Linked DNA regions of Macaca fascicularis. The protein of the gene in region 2 binds, or shares a complex with, the protein of the main gene of each other region. Links are inferred from orthologs where the notes say so. Each region holds a gene or a part of one and is shown on either strand. Other genes may lie near its edges.

Region 1 (4,375 bases), on a different chromosome or scaffold from region 2:
ATGAAAGTTATGTGGATTATATGTGTAGGTAAATGTAGTTCAGGCAATGCATTTGATAGTGAATAGCGTGTATGTCTGTGAAACCTTTTGACAAATATTTGCTTCTAGAATTCCACATCACTGTCATTAGGCTCTGAAAGAAGGATCCCTGAATGTGACAGACTTAAGATTAGTCATTTCTGACAAAGAGGCCACAATAAACAAATGTTGGATAGCATGTTTGAGTGCAGACTGGGTGGCGCTGGCCACTATAGTGGTAATAGCAATGTAGGTTCCAACAGAGGTCTCTAAGTCACTGGGCCTTGAATATTGCAATACTGCTCCCTCAGTCAGCTCTCTCAAGTTATCCTTAGCAGATTTTTTTTTTAAACAGCTGCCACTTCACTTCCACCCTTCAGCAGGTAACCAAGCTCTATCTGAAGGAAAATAGAAACCATCAGAAAGGAACTCTCACCTTCCGGCTAGAAACATCCACCTATCTATATTCATCCTTTATCTACCTTTCGTCATTCTCTGTAATCACAATGAAGAAAGTGTCCTTCCTAAAGCACTCTCCATTCCACCTTCTCCTATTTCTCTCATTGGAGTCGCTCATTCCCATCGGTATTTGCTTCCTCCAATTCTTCGCTTGTGAAAGCTAACTTCTCCAGACCAGGTGCCGCTCTAGTAGCTGCCCTAGCTCTCTAGCCTCGATATAGTCAAACCTTCTAACGGACTGCCTGCACAGCTATTTCCTCTTTCTCATCCGACTCACCAAGGTTTGTCATACAGCCGGCACTGCACCGTCATGTTTAAAATATATAACAGATGGCTAGACAGCATTCCGAGGGTGCAGACAATAAAGTGATCTACAGCTTGTAGCCTGGGTGTTGGATGGCTCATTGGGTGGGGAAGCTGTTATCTTTCCACCGTGCACAGGTAATTTGATATATGCTTTCACTCTGAAATAAAGTTGTGGAAAGGCAGTAGTACGCAACAATTAATAAAACACAAGTGAGTAAACAGTGATGCCGCACAACCAATCAACCCCTCACATGACTTGGGTGCGTATCACCCACCGGCCGCATCTGCCACTCCGCCCAAGGCGCGGTCAGCACCCACGCCGGCCCTTCCGGCGGAACCCGCCTCGCGGCTTCGAAGTGGCCTGGGTTTCCGAGTCAGGGGTGGTGATAGGGGTGGAAGATGAGGGGAAGAGCCGAGCGGCTACCGGCCAATGGCAGCTCTTGAACTTACACCTCGAGACGTCAGCGCGGCTGTGTAAACGGATGTCACACAGCTGGCTCGGAAGTGTCTCCTCCCGCCTTAGAAAAGCGGCGCACGCCCAGCAGCTTCGGAAAAACCTTAGGCGGCTGGAGGGAGGGGCGCGCGCCGCACCCCGCGAGCCCAGAGCTCCATACCCTAGCCGGCCGGCTTCTTCCCGTAGTGCCGTGTGGCTGCCGTTCCGGGTGAGCAGCGGGCGCTAGCGTCCCCGCCACGAGCGCGCCACCGCAACTGGCTCCGCCCCCTGCCGGAACGGGCCGCGCGTTCCTGCGGCTCCGAGCAGAGTCGCGGGCGCGCGCGCCGGCGGCAGATCCGCAGTTAAAATGGTCCGAGCGGGACCCGGCCTTGCCCCCGCTGCCGCGCTGACTGACTGAGCCGGCTGGCCGGGCCCGGACTGGTCACCTAGCCGGCAGGCTCGCTCGCTCGCTCACTCCCTCGCGTCCCCAAAGCTCGCGCCCATCGTTCTCCCGGCTTCCCTGGGCAGAGCATGTAGCCCCCGTCGGGCACTCCGGCGGCCCGCAGCTGACGCCCACCCCCCACCGTCGCGTGTGTGCCCGTGTGTGCGTGTGTGTGCGCAGGGAGGGCGACCCCGCCGTGGGCCGGGGGCCGAGCCAGCGAGCGGCCTGCCCCGCTGCCAGGAGCCCGCCTCTCTGGGTCTCCCTCCCTCCCGTCCCGGTCCCCCTCCTCGGGGTCTTCTATATGGGCCACCTTCTCTCGAAGGAGCCGCGTAACCGCCCGAGCCAGAAGAGGCCTCGCTGTTGCAGTTGGTGCCGCCGCCGGCGCCCTCTCCTCAGGCTGCCCCGCCGGACCCCAGCCAAGGTGCCCCCTCAACCGGCGGCACCCCGGAGCCGGGACTGCTTCTTCCGCGGGCCCTGCATGCTCTGCTTCATCGTGCACAGTCCCGGCGCGCCCGCCCCCGCCGGCCCAGAGGAGGAGCCGCCGCTCTCGCCGCCGCCGCCGCCGCGGGACGGGGCCTACGCTGCCGCCTCCTCCTCCCAGCACCTGGCGCGGCGCTACGCGGCCCTGGCCGCCGAGGACTGCGCCGCTGCCGCCCGCCGCTTCCTGCTATCCTCGGCCGCCGCCGCCGCAGCCGCTGCCGCCTCGGCTTCGTCGCCCGCCTCCTGCTGCAAAGAGTTGGGGCTGGCTGCGGCCGCCGCCTGGGAGCAGCAGGGCCGAAGTCTCTTCCTGGCCAGCTTGGGGCCGGTGCGCTTCCTGGGGCCGCCCGCCGCCGTGCAGCTCTTCCGGGGACCGACACCGCCGCCGGCCGAGCCCCCTACGCCCCCCGAAATGGTGTGCAAGCGGAAGGGGGCCGGGGTCCCAGCCTGCACCCCCTGCAAGCAGCCCCGCTGCGGCGGCGGGGGCTGCGGCAGCGGCGGCGGTGGTGGTGGGGGAGGGCCTGCGGGGGGAGGCGCTTCGCCGCCCCGACCCCCCGACGCCGGCTGCTGCCAGGGCCCGGAGCAGCACCCGCAGCCGCTCTGCCCCCCGCCCTCTTCTCCCACCTCCGAAGGTGCCCCTACCGAAGCTGGCGGGGACGCTGTCCGAGCCGGGGGCACCGCCCCCTCGTCCGCCCAGCAGCAGCATGAATGTGGCGACGCGGACTGTCGGGAGCCCCCCGAAAACCCCTGCGACTGTCACAGGGAGCCGTCCCCCGAAACCCCAGACATCAACCAGCTGCCGCCGTCCATCCTGCTCAAGGTGGGTCTGGGCGAGAGGCGCAGGGATGCTCGCTTTCCCCCACCCTCGGCCCCCGCCTCTGAGGCTTTCTCTCTCCTCCCCCTAAACGCGGAGGAGGGGGGTTCCCTGACAGTCTAGGGACGTCCGAAGGGGAGACTGGGAAGCCAGTGGGGCCTCTGCGTATGACCTATTTTTTGAAGTAGGAGCACTTGGAGTCTACTGAATGTCTTTTAATAGCTTGACTCTGTAACCCACCATTCAGGGTTCAGCTATTATTAGAATCCCAACCCAGTCGTTTAGAAACTTCGCAGGTATTCTGTGGAAAAGAAAAAAAAAATTAATCGGGAAGTTTATACTTAGTGGGTAAAGGCTTTGCGTATTAGTATTTGAAGGTCTTCAAACATTACTTTTATGTTTGATGATTGGTAGTTAATGTCAAACAGTTATTATTGAGCATTTACCATAATCAGGCGCTGCACCAGAACTTTATATATATAATATCCCATTTATTCCTTCAGTTAAAGCTGCGAGATAAATACTGTTAATATCTTTATTTTATACCAGAAGAAACTGACTTCTCCGTGCTGTGGGCCACTGTTTACAGTAGTGAGTCAGGCAGAAGTGGCCTTTGCTCCTGTGGAGCTGACAGTCTAGTGGGGCTTGAAGTGGTCGAATGACTTGTGCAAGGTCACATACAGAAAGTAAAGGGCAGATCTAGGTCTTGAATGAGGGAATTTAAGACCACCTGACTTTAAAACCCCTTTGTTTATGCTATGTTGTAATGCCCTTCTACAGTTTAGCCTTTGCATAAAAGCATGCAGATTACCAGAGGTAAGCGCAGATGTATTTTTTGTTGGGAAATGGGTGAGTAGAGGTAGGTGTCCTATATGAACTTTGTGTCATTTTCAACTATCAAGGATATTTTGCAGTTTTGTCAATGCTAGTGACAAACTTTAGTTACATAATAGAGTTTTTCTTAAGTTATTAACTTTTTTCCTCTTTTTCTGTCTTCTCCCACCCTACCCTATGTGGAGCTTAATAAATATAAACCATTTTCATTGTGGATGATACTAGAGACTATCCATAAATAATCTTGATAAGAATTTGGCTACTTTTACCGTTACTGAAGTAACTGTCAGTAATTACAATTGTTATTGTCACCAATATAGTTTCTGTGACTAGACTTTTTGCATATTTACAGTACTGTGTGTTTGGGTCTTTTTTACTGTGATATTAATGTTCTTGTGAATGATACAGCAAGAAGGTGGGAAAACTTACATTTCCTTGTGTCAAAATGTAATGATCTAATTCTTATGGAGGTCTACTTGTTGGAAGAGTAATTCCCTACTCTTTGTGTGCAGAGGTGCATTTTAGGACAAAGGGAACTTTCTTGAGTCCTTTAAATCACTGGATGATATGGATAAATAAAATATCAACAAAT
Region 2 (3,645 bases):
CCCAGGCATTCATTTTCCGACGTTTCATTTGGCTGAACAGAAGCATGAATGTCTTTGACACTAGATTCCCCAGTACGGACTCTGTCAGTTCCAAATGCTTTTTGGAATTTTCTGTATTTGGGGCATAAAGAAGGCAAGGCCAGAGCAGCATCCTTCTCTAAGCACATGGATTCATATGTCTGACTGGCACTGTCTTGTAGAGGAGGCGAGGCTTTTGCATTTCCTTGATACCTGCGGAGTTTACATTGAGGAGTCTGAACATTTTTATTTTCCACAAATTCCTCCACTTCATCTGTTTCTAGATCCCTCTGGTCCAAAAGTGAAAGTTTAAGATCTGTTTTCTGACAGTGTGATGAAAAGCATTTTTTTCTTGGGCATTCTTGCTGGTCTGCAGTGGAGTCCAAAAACTTAAATTTCAGAAACTGAAAGCAGGATTCCTCAATATTGTGTACACTTAAAAACTCCACACATTTGCACACTTCATCCACATTCTCTTTACTTAAAATCAGTTTAGCAGTGTAGGCAAACTGAATTAAAGGTTCAAATCCTTTAACTGTCACCTGTTGATACACAAAATAAAAAACACATCATTTGAAAGCTGTCTAGTACATAAAAATGAGATAAGTGGAAGAGAAATAGATGTGTAACTTATTTGTGATAATGATAAAATATGTACTTTAATTTAAAGAAAAAATATTCTTCTAAGAAATGGAAAAGGAAAGGATCCTGGAAAAGCATGCTTTTCACAGCGACCACACACTATTTTATAGAGTCCACTCTTAATTGCACATGAATTATGGTTTACTCACATAAGTTAAAGACATTAAGACATTACAAGTTTCCCATGACAGTGGAAAAAAAAATCATCTATGAATTAGAGCAGGATGAACACGACCTGCCACACATACATAGTGAGCCTACTGCTAGCCCAGCTCCACATGGCCACTGTATTCCAAACAACCCCAACTGCTACCAGCTGCAAAACCAGAACTCTTAAGGATATAAAACAGTACCTGTAAAGAAGTTACAAAGTCCTGATCCATGGTAAATGCATACTAACTGGTAACTATTAACTTTACTGTCCTAACAGTAAAAGTTTTAAAGATACAGATTTTTTAAAGTGATCTAGGAGAAGTTATAGAAATCATGCCTCAGTACTGTTTCAGCAAAAATTCATGGACTCAAAGTAACAAAACTTTTAAGTAGAAACCTGCACATTTACATTACACCTGCCTCTTAAAATGAGAGGCAAATGGAACCAGCTGAAGTACACAGAAAGTCCTATCCTGGGTTAAAAGTACAAAATTAATTTGAAACCACTGAGTTCTTATAAGAGTGGTCAAGATAATATTTGTGATCTTAAAAATCTAAACATGCTAAACCATGTTTAGGCTTTTTAAAGGCTCAAATAAAAAGCAATGATACCATCAAATGCTAATGAGAATGCAGAGAAACTAAATCACTCACATATTGCTAGTGGGAATGTAAAATGGTACAGACAATTTGAAATACACTTTCTTATAAAAGTAAACATGCAACTACCATATGACTCAGCAACTGCACTCCTGGTCTTTTATCCCAAAGAAATGAAAACTTATGTTCACACAAACACCAGTACACAAATGTTTACAGCAATCTTATTTGTGATAGCCAAAAACCGGAATTAGCCTGATTTCCTTCAATAGGTGAAAAGCTACACACACACATACACACACGGTACATCCATACTACGGAATACTACTCAGCAATAAAAAGGAAAAAATTTCTGATACACACAACCTGGATAATCTCACCTAAGTCAAACAACATCAATCCTAAGAGGTAATATACTGCATAATTTCATTTATATAACATTTTTAGAATGAAAAAACTTTAGAAAAGGAAGAAAGGTAAGTGGTTGCTATGGATTAGGGATGGAGAAAGGGGGCAAGGGAATGAGGGCATGGAGTGTAGGCAGGAGATGTCTGTGGTTATAAAAGGACAACAAAAGGGATCTTTGTGTGTTGGCAAGTTCAGTATCTTTTTTTTTTTTGAGGTAGAATCTCGCTCTGTCACCCAGGCTAGAGTACAGTGGTGCAATCTCGGCTCACGAGTAGCTGGGATTACAGGTGCCCGCCACCACGCCTGACTAATTTTTGTATTTTTAGTAGAGACGTTTCACCATGTTGGCCAGGCTGGTAAACTCCTGACCTCAGGTGATCTGCCTGCCTCGGACTCCCAAAGTGCTGGGATTACAGGCATGAGCCACTGCACCCAACTGAGCATCTTAACTATGGTGGTGGATACACAAACCTTCACAGGGGATAAAATTATATAGAACTTAATGCGCGAGTGCGCGCACACACACACACAGACATTATTAGTACAAGCAAAATTGTGGCAATCTGAACCCTATGGGGGACTGTATCAATATCCTGGTTGTAATACTACACTACAACTTTGCAAAATGTTATCAATGGGGGACACTGGACAAAGTGAAAAGGAACTCTGCACTGTTTCTTATATCTGTACATGAAAACATCAAGGTGATAATATTAAATGTCAACTTGACTGGATTGAAGGCTGTAAAGTCTTGTTTCTGGGTGTGTCAGTGAGGGCGTTGCTAGGGAAAATTAACATTGAGTCAGTGGACTGGGAAAGATAACCCACCCTCAATATGGGTGGGCACCATCCAATCGGCTACCAGCAAGGCTGGAACAAAACAGAAGGAAGAAGGTGGGATAGGTGACTTGCTGACTCTTCTGACTTTCGCCTTTCTCCCCTGCTGGATGCTTCCTGCCCTTGACATCAGATGCCAGGTTCTTTGGCCTTTGGACTCTTAGACTTACATCAGTGGTTTGACGAGGGCTCTTGGGCCTTTGGCCACAGACTGAAGGCTACAGTGTTGGCTTCCCTATTTTTGAGGCTTTTGGACTCAGACTGGGCCACTACTGGCTTTCTTCCTCCTCAGCTTGCAGGTGGCCTATCGTATGACTTCACCTTGTGAACGTGTGAGCCAATTTTCCTTAATAAACGCCCCTTCATATATATATATATATCCTATTAGTTCTGTCCCTCTGGAGAACTCTAATACACTCAATAAAAATTTCAATTAAAATTTTTAAATTAGTTAAAATAATCTAAAAAGGTCTTTAGGACAATGAGTTATAAGGTATTTTGACACTGTCACTATAATGAAACACTTCCAATATTTGAAAACTTATGATTTACACATTAGAAAGAATGAATGAATGCACACATACATGCATGTATGCACATACCTTTCCTCCTAAATCCATGAATCAAACTTTGCTTTACTTGGAAAGTCTCATTCAATAATTTGAAAATATGAACCATAATTAATATATCTCCATTATAAAATGTGTTGGTCTTTTTTTAAAACAATGGCCAGTTCACAGGTTGGCCTTTTTTACCATTTTCTTGGTATTGCACCATTGACTCTGACCTCTGCCACAAAACTGACAACCTATCTGTTCCCAAAACTGTAGCTGCATTTTCATAGAAGTAGGCATGGACAGCAACAAGCTAAACTGTAGACTTAGTTTACAGTTTATCCAACTGTATCCAACTGGGAACATCCCACACAGACCTGTCATACACAAAGAATTTCTACATTCTTTCTCCATATTCCTCCTAACTTCTATC
Region 3 (3,645 bases), on a different chromosome or scaffold from region 2:
CCAAGCTAAAAATAATTCACCAATCCAAAGGACCCCACATTAATGCAAGGAGGAAATCATCAAGTTGCTAATTTTTCTCACCTACAATTCCTGGGGTCACAATCCCAAGGACCTGGCATTGTTTGGGGAATAGCTTCTCAAGGGCAAGTGCTGTTTCCATACTAGTTCTTTTCCTTGCTGTAAAAATACAGTAGCAAAATGATTAAATATCATCCATTTAAAGTCAAATCTGACAATGAAAAAGTAAAAAAGCAAATACTGGAAATATTTAGGTCACCTGACACGAGAATGCTCTAAATAAAGGTCTAAAAGCATTGATTAAAACAAACACTTTACCTGTTTTGGTCCTGGCTTTTAAATTCTAAATCTGATCTTTTGCACCACTAGTCTGCCTTTCCTCTCTGTTCATATAATGCTTTTGCCCCAGTGATGTCAAATTTAGCAGTAACAGCTGAATTTTAGACTTGCTACTGTACCTTTCTGTTCAGCTGATATTGCAGTATAACTACTATTTGCATCAACAGTTAACTGGATTCAAATTAGACAATAAGAATCCATTATCTAAGTCTAATTTGGGGCCTATGTATGCCCATCTTGAATACCTATTCTGCCTTTTCCCTCAGCCAGCCAAAAATGCACCATTTCTCTACATAACTTTGGTAAATGGGACCTCATGTTCCAATATAGTAAAAGGCCTGAATAGCCAAAGTCATACAACCTGTTTTAATAATAAAAAGTGCCTGGAGAATTAAAGCATCTCAAATTGAGAAAAACACCTTTCTAATGAATTTGTTTCAATTACACTACAAGGTTTAGAAATCAATCTGAAGCAGAAAGGGTTCCTCAAGGTTCAAAGATAGATACATTCATGCATACTACAGGTGGCAGTCCCACAGCCTCAGAAAGTCGATTAAGTCTCAGGACAAGTACAATATTGAACTCCAAACAGAAGGCACATGATGAAAAAAAACAGAAACAAAAGCTTTTCTTTTGATAGTTACCTCTCTTATGGCCACGACACTCTTCCAGACTAATGAAAGTTTCTGAATCAGCCATGTAAAGAACTGTATGTGGTAAGATGCGAACATTCTGCAAAAAAAAAAAAAAAAAAAAAAAATTGGAATTGGATCCCATGAATCCATGAGTGCTTCTGCATAGTCCCTTAAAGTATCACCCAGTCCACAGTGCAATGAAATTAGAACTCAGGATTAAAAAACTCACTCAAAACCGCACAATTACATGGAAACTGAACAACCTGCTCCTGAATGACTACTGGCCAAATAACAAAATGAAGGCAGAGATAAAGATGTTCTTTGAAACCAATGAGAACAAAGACACAATGTACCATAATCTCTGGGACACAGCTAAAGCAGTGTTTAGAGGGAAATTTATAGCACTAAATGCCCACAGGAGAAAGCGGGAAAGATCTAAAATCAACAACCTAACATCATAATTAAAAGAACTAAAGAAGCAAGAGCAAACAAATTCAAAAGCTAGCAGAAGGCAAGAAACAACTAAGATCAGAGCAGAACTGAAGGAGACAGAAACATGAAAAATCCTTCAAAAACTCAATGAATCCAGGAGCTGGTTTCCTGAAAAGACTAACAAAATAGACAGACCGCTAGCCAGACTAATAAAGAGAGAAGAATCAAATACACACAATAAAAAATGATAAAGGGGATATCACCACTGATCCCACAGAAATACAAACTGTCATCAGAGAATACTATAAACACCTATATGCAAGTAAACTAGAAAATCTAGAAGAAATGGATAAATTCCTGGACACATACCCTCTCCCAAGACTAAATCAGGAAGAAGTCGAATCTCTGAATAGACCAATAACAAGTTCTGAAATTAAGGCAGTAATAGCCTACCAAGCAAAAAAAGCCCAGGACCAGACGAATTCACAGCCAAATTCTATCAAAGGTACGAAGAGGAACTGATACCATTCCTTCTGAAACTATTCCAAACAATGGAAAAAGAGGGACGCCTCCCTAACTCATTTTTTGAGGCCAGCATCATCCTGATACCAAAACCTGGCAGAAACACAACAAAAAAAGAAAATTTCAGGCCAATATCCCTGATGAATATCGATGTGAAAATCCTCCGTAAAATACTGGCAAACCGAATCAAGCAGCACATCAAAAAGCTTATCCACCACGATCAAGTCAGCTTCATCCCTGGGATGCAAGGCTGGTTCAACATATGCAAATCAATACACGTAATCCATAACACAAACAGAACCGATGACAAAAACCATGATTATCTCAACAGATGCACAAAAGGCCTCTGATAAAATTCAACACCACTTCATGCTAAAAACTCTCAATAAACTAGGTATTGATGGAACGTATCTCAAAATAGTAAGAGCTATTTATGACAAACCCACAGGCAATATCATACCGGATGGTCAAAAGCTGGAAGCATTCTCTTTGAAAACCCGCAGAAGACGAGGATGCCCTCTCTCACCACTCGTATTCAACAGAGTATTGGAAGTTCTGGCCAGGGCAATCAAGCAAGAGAAAGAAATAAAGGGTATTCATATAGGAAGAGAGGAAGTCAAATTGTCTCTGTTTGCATATGACATGACTGTATATTTAGAAAACCCAGTCATCTCAGTCCAAAATCTCCTTAAGCTGATAAGCAACTTCAGCAAAGTCTCAGGATACAAAATCAATGTGCAAAAATCACAAGCATTCCTACACACAAATAACAGACAGCCAAATCATGAGTGAACTCACATTCACAACTGCTACAAAGAGAATAAAATACCTAGGAATACAACTTACAAGGAATGTGAAGGACCTCTTCAAGGAGAACTACAAACCACTGCTCAAGGAAGTAAGAGAAGACACAAACAAATGGAAAAACACCCCATGCTCGTGGATAGAAAGAATCAATATTATGAAAATGGCCATACTGCCCAAAATAATTTAGAGATTCAATGCTATCCCCATCAAGCTACCATTGACTTTCTTCACAGAATTAGAAAAAACTACTTTAAATTTCATATGGAATCAATAAAGAGCCCGTATAGCCAGGACAATCCTAACCAAAAAGAACAAGGCTGAAGGCATCATACTACCTGACTTCAAACTATACTATAAGACTACAGTAACCAAAACAGCATGGTACTGGTACCAAAACAGATATACAGACCAATGGAACAGAATAGAGGCCTCAGAAATAACACCACACATTTACAACCATCTGATATCTGACAAACCTGACAAAAACAAGCAACAGGAAAAGGATTAACTATTTAATAAATGGTGTTGGGAAAACTGGCTAGCCATATGCAGAAAACTAAAACTGGACCCCTTCGTTACACCTTATACAAAAATTAACTCAAGATGGATTAAAGACTTAAGTGTAAGACCTAAAACCATAAAATCCCTAGAAGAAAATCTAGGCAATACCATTCAGGACACAAGCACGGGCAAAGACTTCATGACTAAAACACCAAAAGCAATGGCAACAAAAGCCAAATTTGAGAAATGGGATCTAATTAAACTAAAGAGCTTCTACACAGCCAAAGAAACTATCATCAGAGTGAACAAGCAACCTACAGAATGGGAGAAAATTTTTGCAATCTATCCATCTGACAAAGGGCTAATATCCAGAATCTACAAGGAACTTAAA

Evidence for each region.
Region 1: the proteins of BACH1 (region 2) and FBXL17 are in contact, whole or in part, in a cryo-EM structure (PDB 8UAH), measured with the Homo sapiens proteins. The link is inferred for Macaca fascicularis from reciprocal best matches to the Homo sapiens genes BACH1 and FBXL17. Residues at the interface, in NP_001177.1 of Homo sapiens: Val20, Leu21, Ser23, Leu24, Gln27, Val32, Leu33, Asp35, Phe39, His48, Arg49, Ser50, Val51, Ala53, Ala54, Cys55, Ser56, Ser57, His60, Ser61, Arg62, Val64, Asn72, Thr74, Pro76, His116, Asn117; in NP_001156787.2 of Homo sapiens: Asp395, Arg421, Asn447, Gln473, Gln498, Glu499, Met524, Arg548, Cys574, Leu575, Tyr598, Val600, Ser601, Asp623, Trp626, Met651, Arg652, Val676, Gln678, Asp679, Cys680, Arg682, Thr683, Glu685, Gln689, Trp692.
Region 3: the proteins of BACH1 (region 2) and FBXO22 are in contact, whole or in part, in a cryo-EM structure (PDB 8S7D), measured with the Homo sapiens proteins. The link is inferred for Macaca fascicularis from reciprocal best matches to the Homo sapiens genes BACH1 and FBXO22. Residues at the interface, in NP_001177.1 of Homo sapiens: Ser7, Val8, Phe9, Ala10, Tyr11, Glu12, Ser13, Ser14, Val15; in NP_671717.1 of Homo sapiens: Asp366, Gly371, Asn372, Phe373, Ile374, Leu375, Arg376, Lys377, Cys378.

The regions. Positions count from the first base shown.
Region 1 is NC_088380.1:114,883,510-114,887,884, reverse strand, and holds the start of FBXL17 (F-box/LRR-repeat protein 17), read left to right. Parts: upstream 1-1,541; 5' UTR 1,542-1,959; coding exon 1,960-2,955; intron 2,956-4,375. UniProt on the Homo sapiens protein: Substrate-recognition component of the SCF(FBXL17) E3 ubiquitin ligase complex, a key component of a quality control pathway required to ensure functional dimerization of BTB domain-containing proteins (dimerization quality control, DQC).
Region 2 is NC_088377.1:17,713,033-17,716,677, forward strand, and holds part of BACH1 (transcription regulator protein BACH1), read right to left. Parts: intron 561-3,645; coding exon 1-560. UniProt on the Homo sapiens protein: Transcriptional regulator that acts as a repressor or activator, depending on the context. Binds to NF-E2 DNA binding sites. Plays important roles in coordinating transcription activation and repression by MAFK.
Region 3 is NC_088381.1:53,200,633-53,204,277, reverse strand, and holds part of FBXO22 (F-box only protein 22), read right to left. Parts: intron 1,090-3,645; coding exon 1,002-1,089; intron 178-1,001; coding exon 82-177; intron 1-81. UniProt on the Homo sapiens protein: Substrate-recognition component of the SCF (SKP1-CUL1-F-box protein)-type E3 ubiquitin ligase complex that is implicated in the control of various cellular processes such as cell cycle control, transcriptional regulation, DNA damage repair, and apoptosis.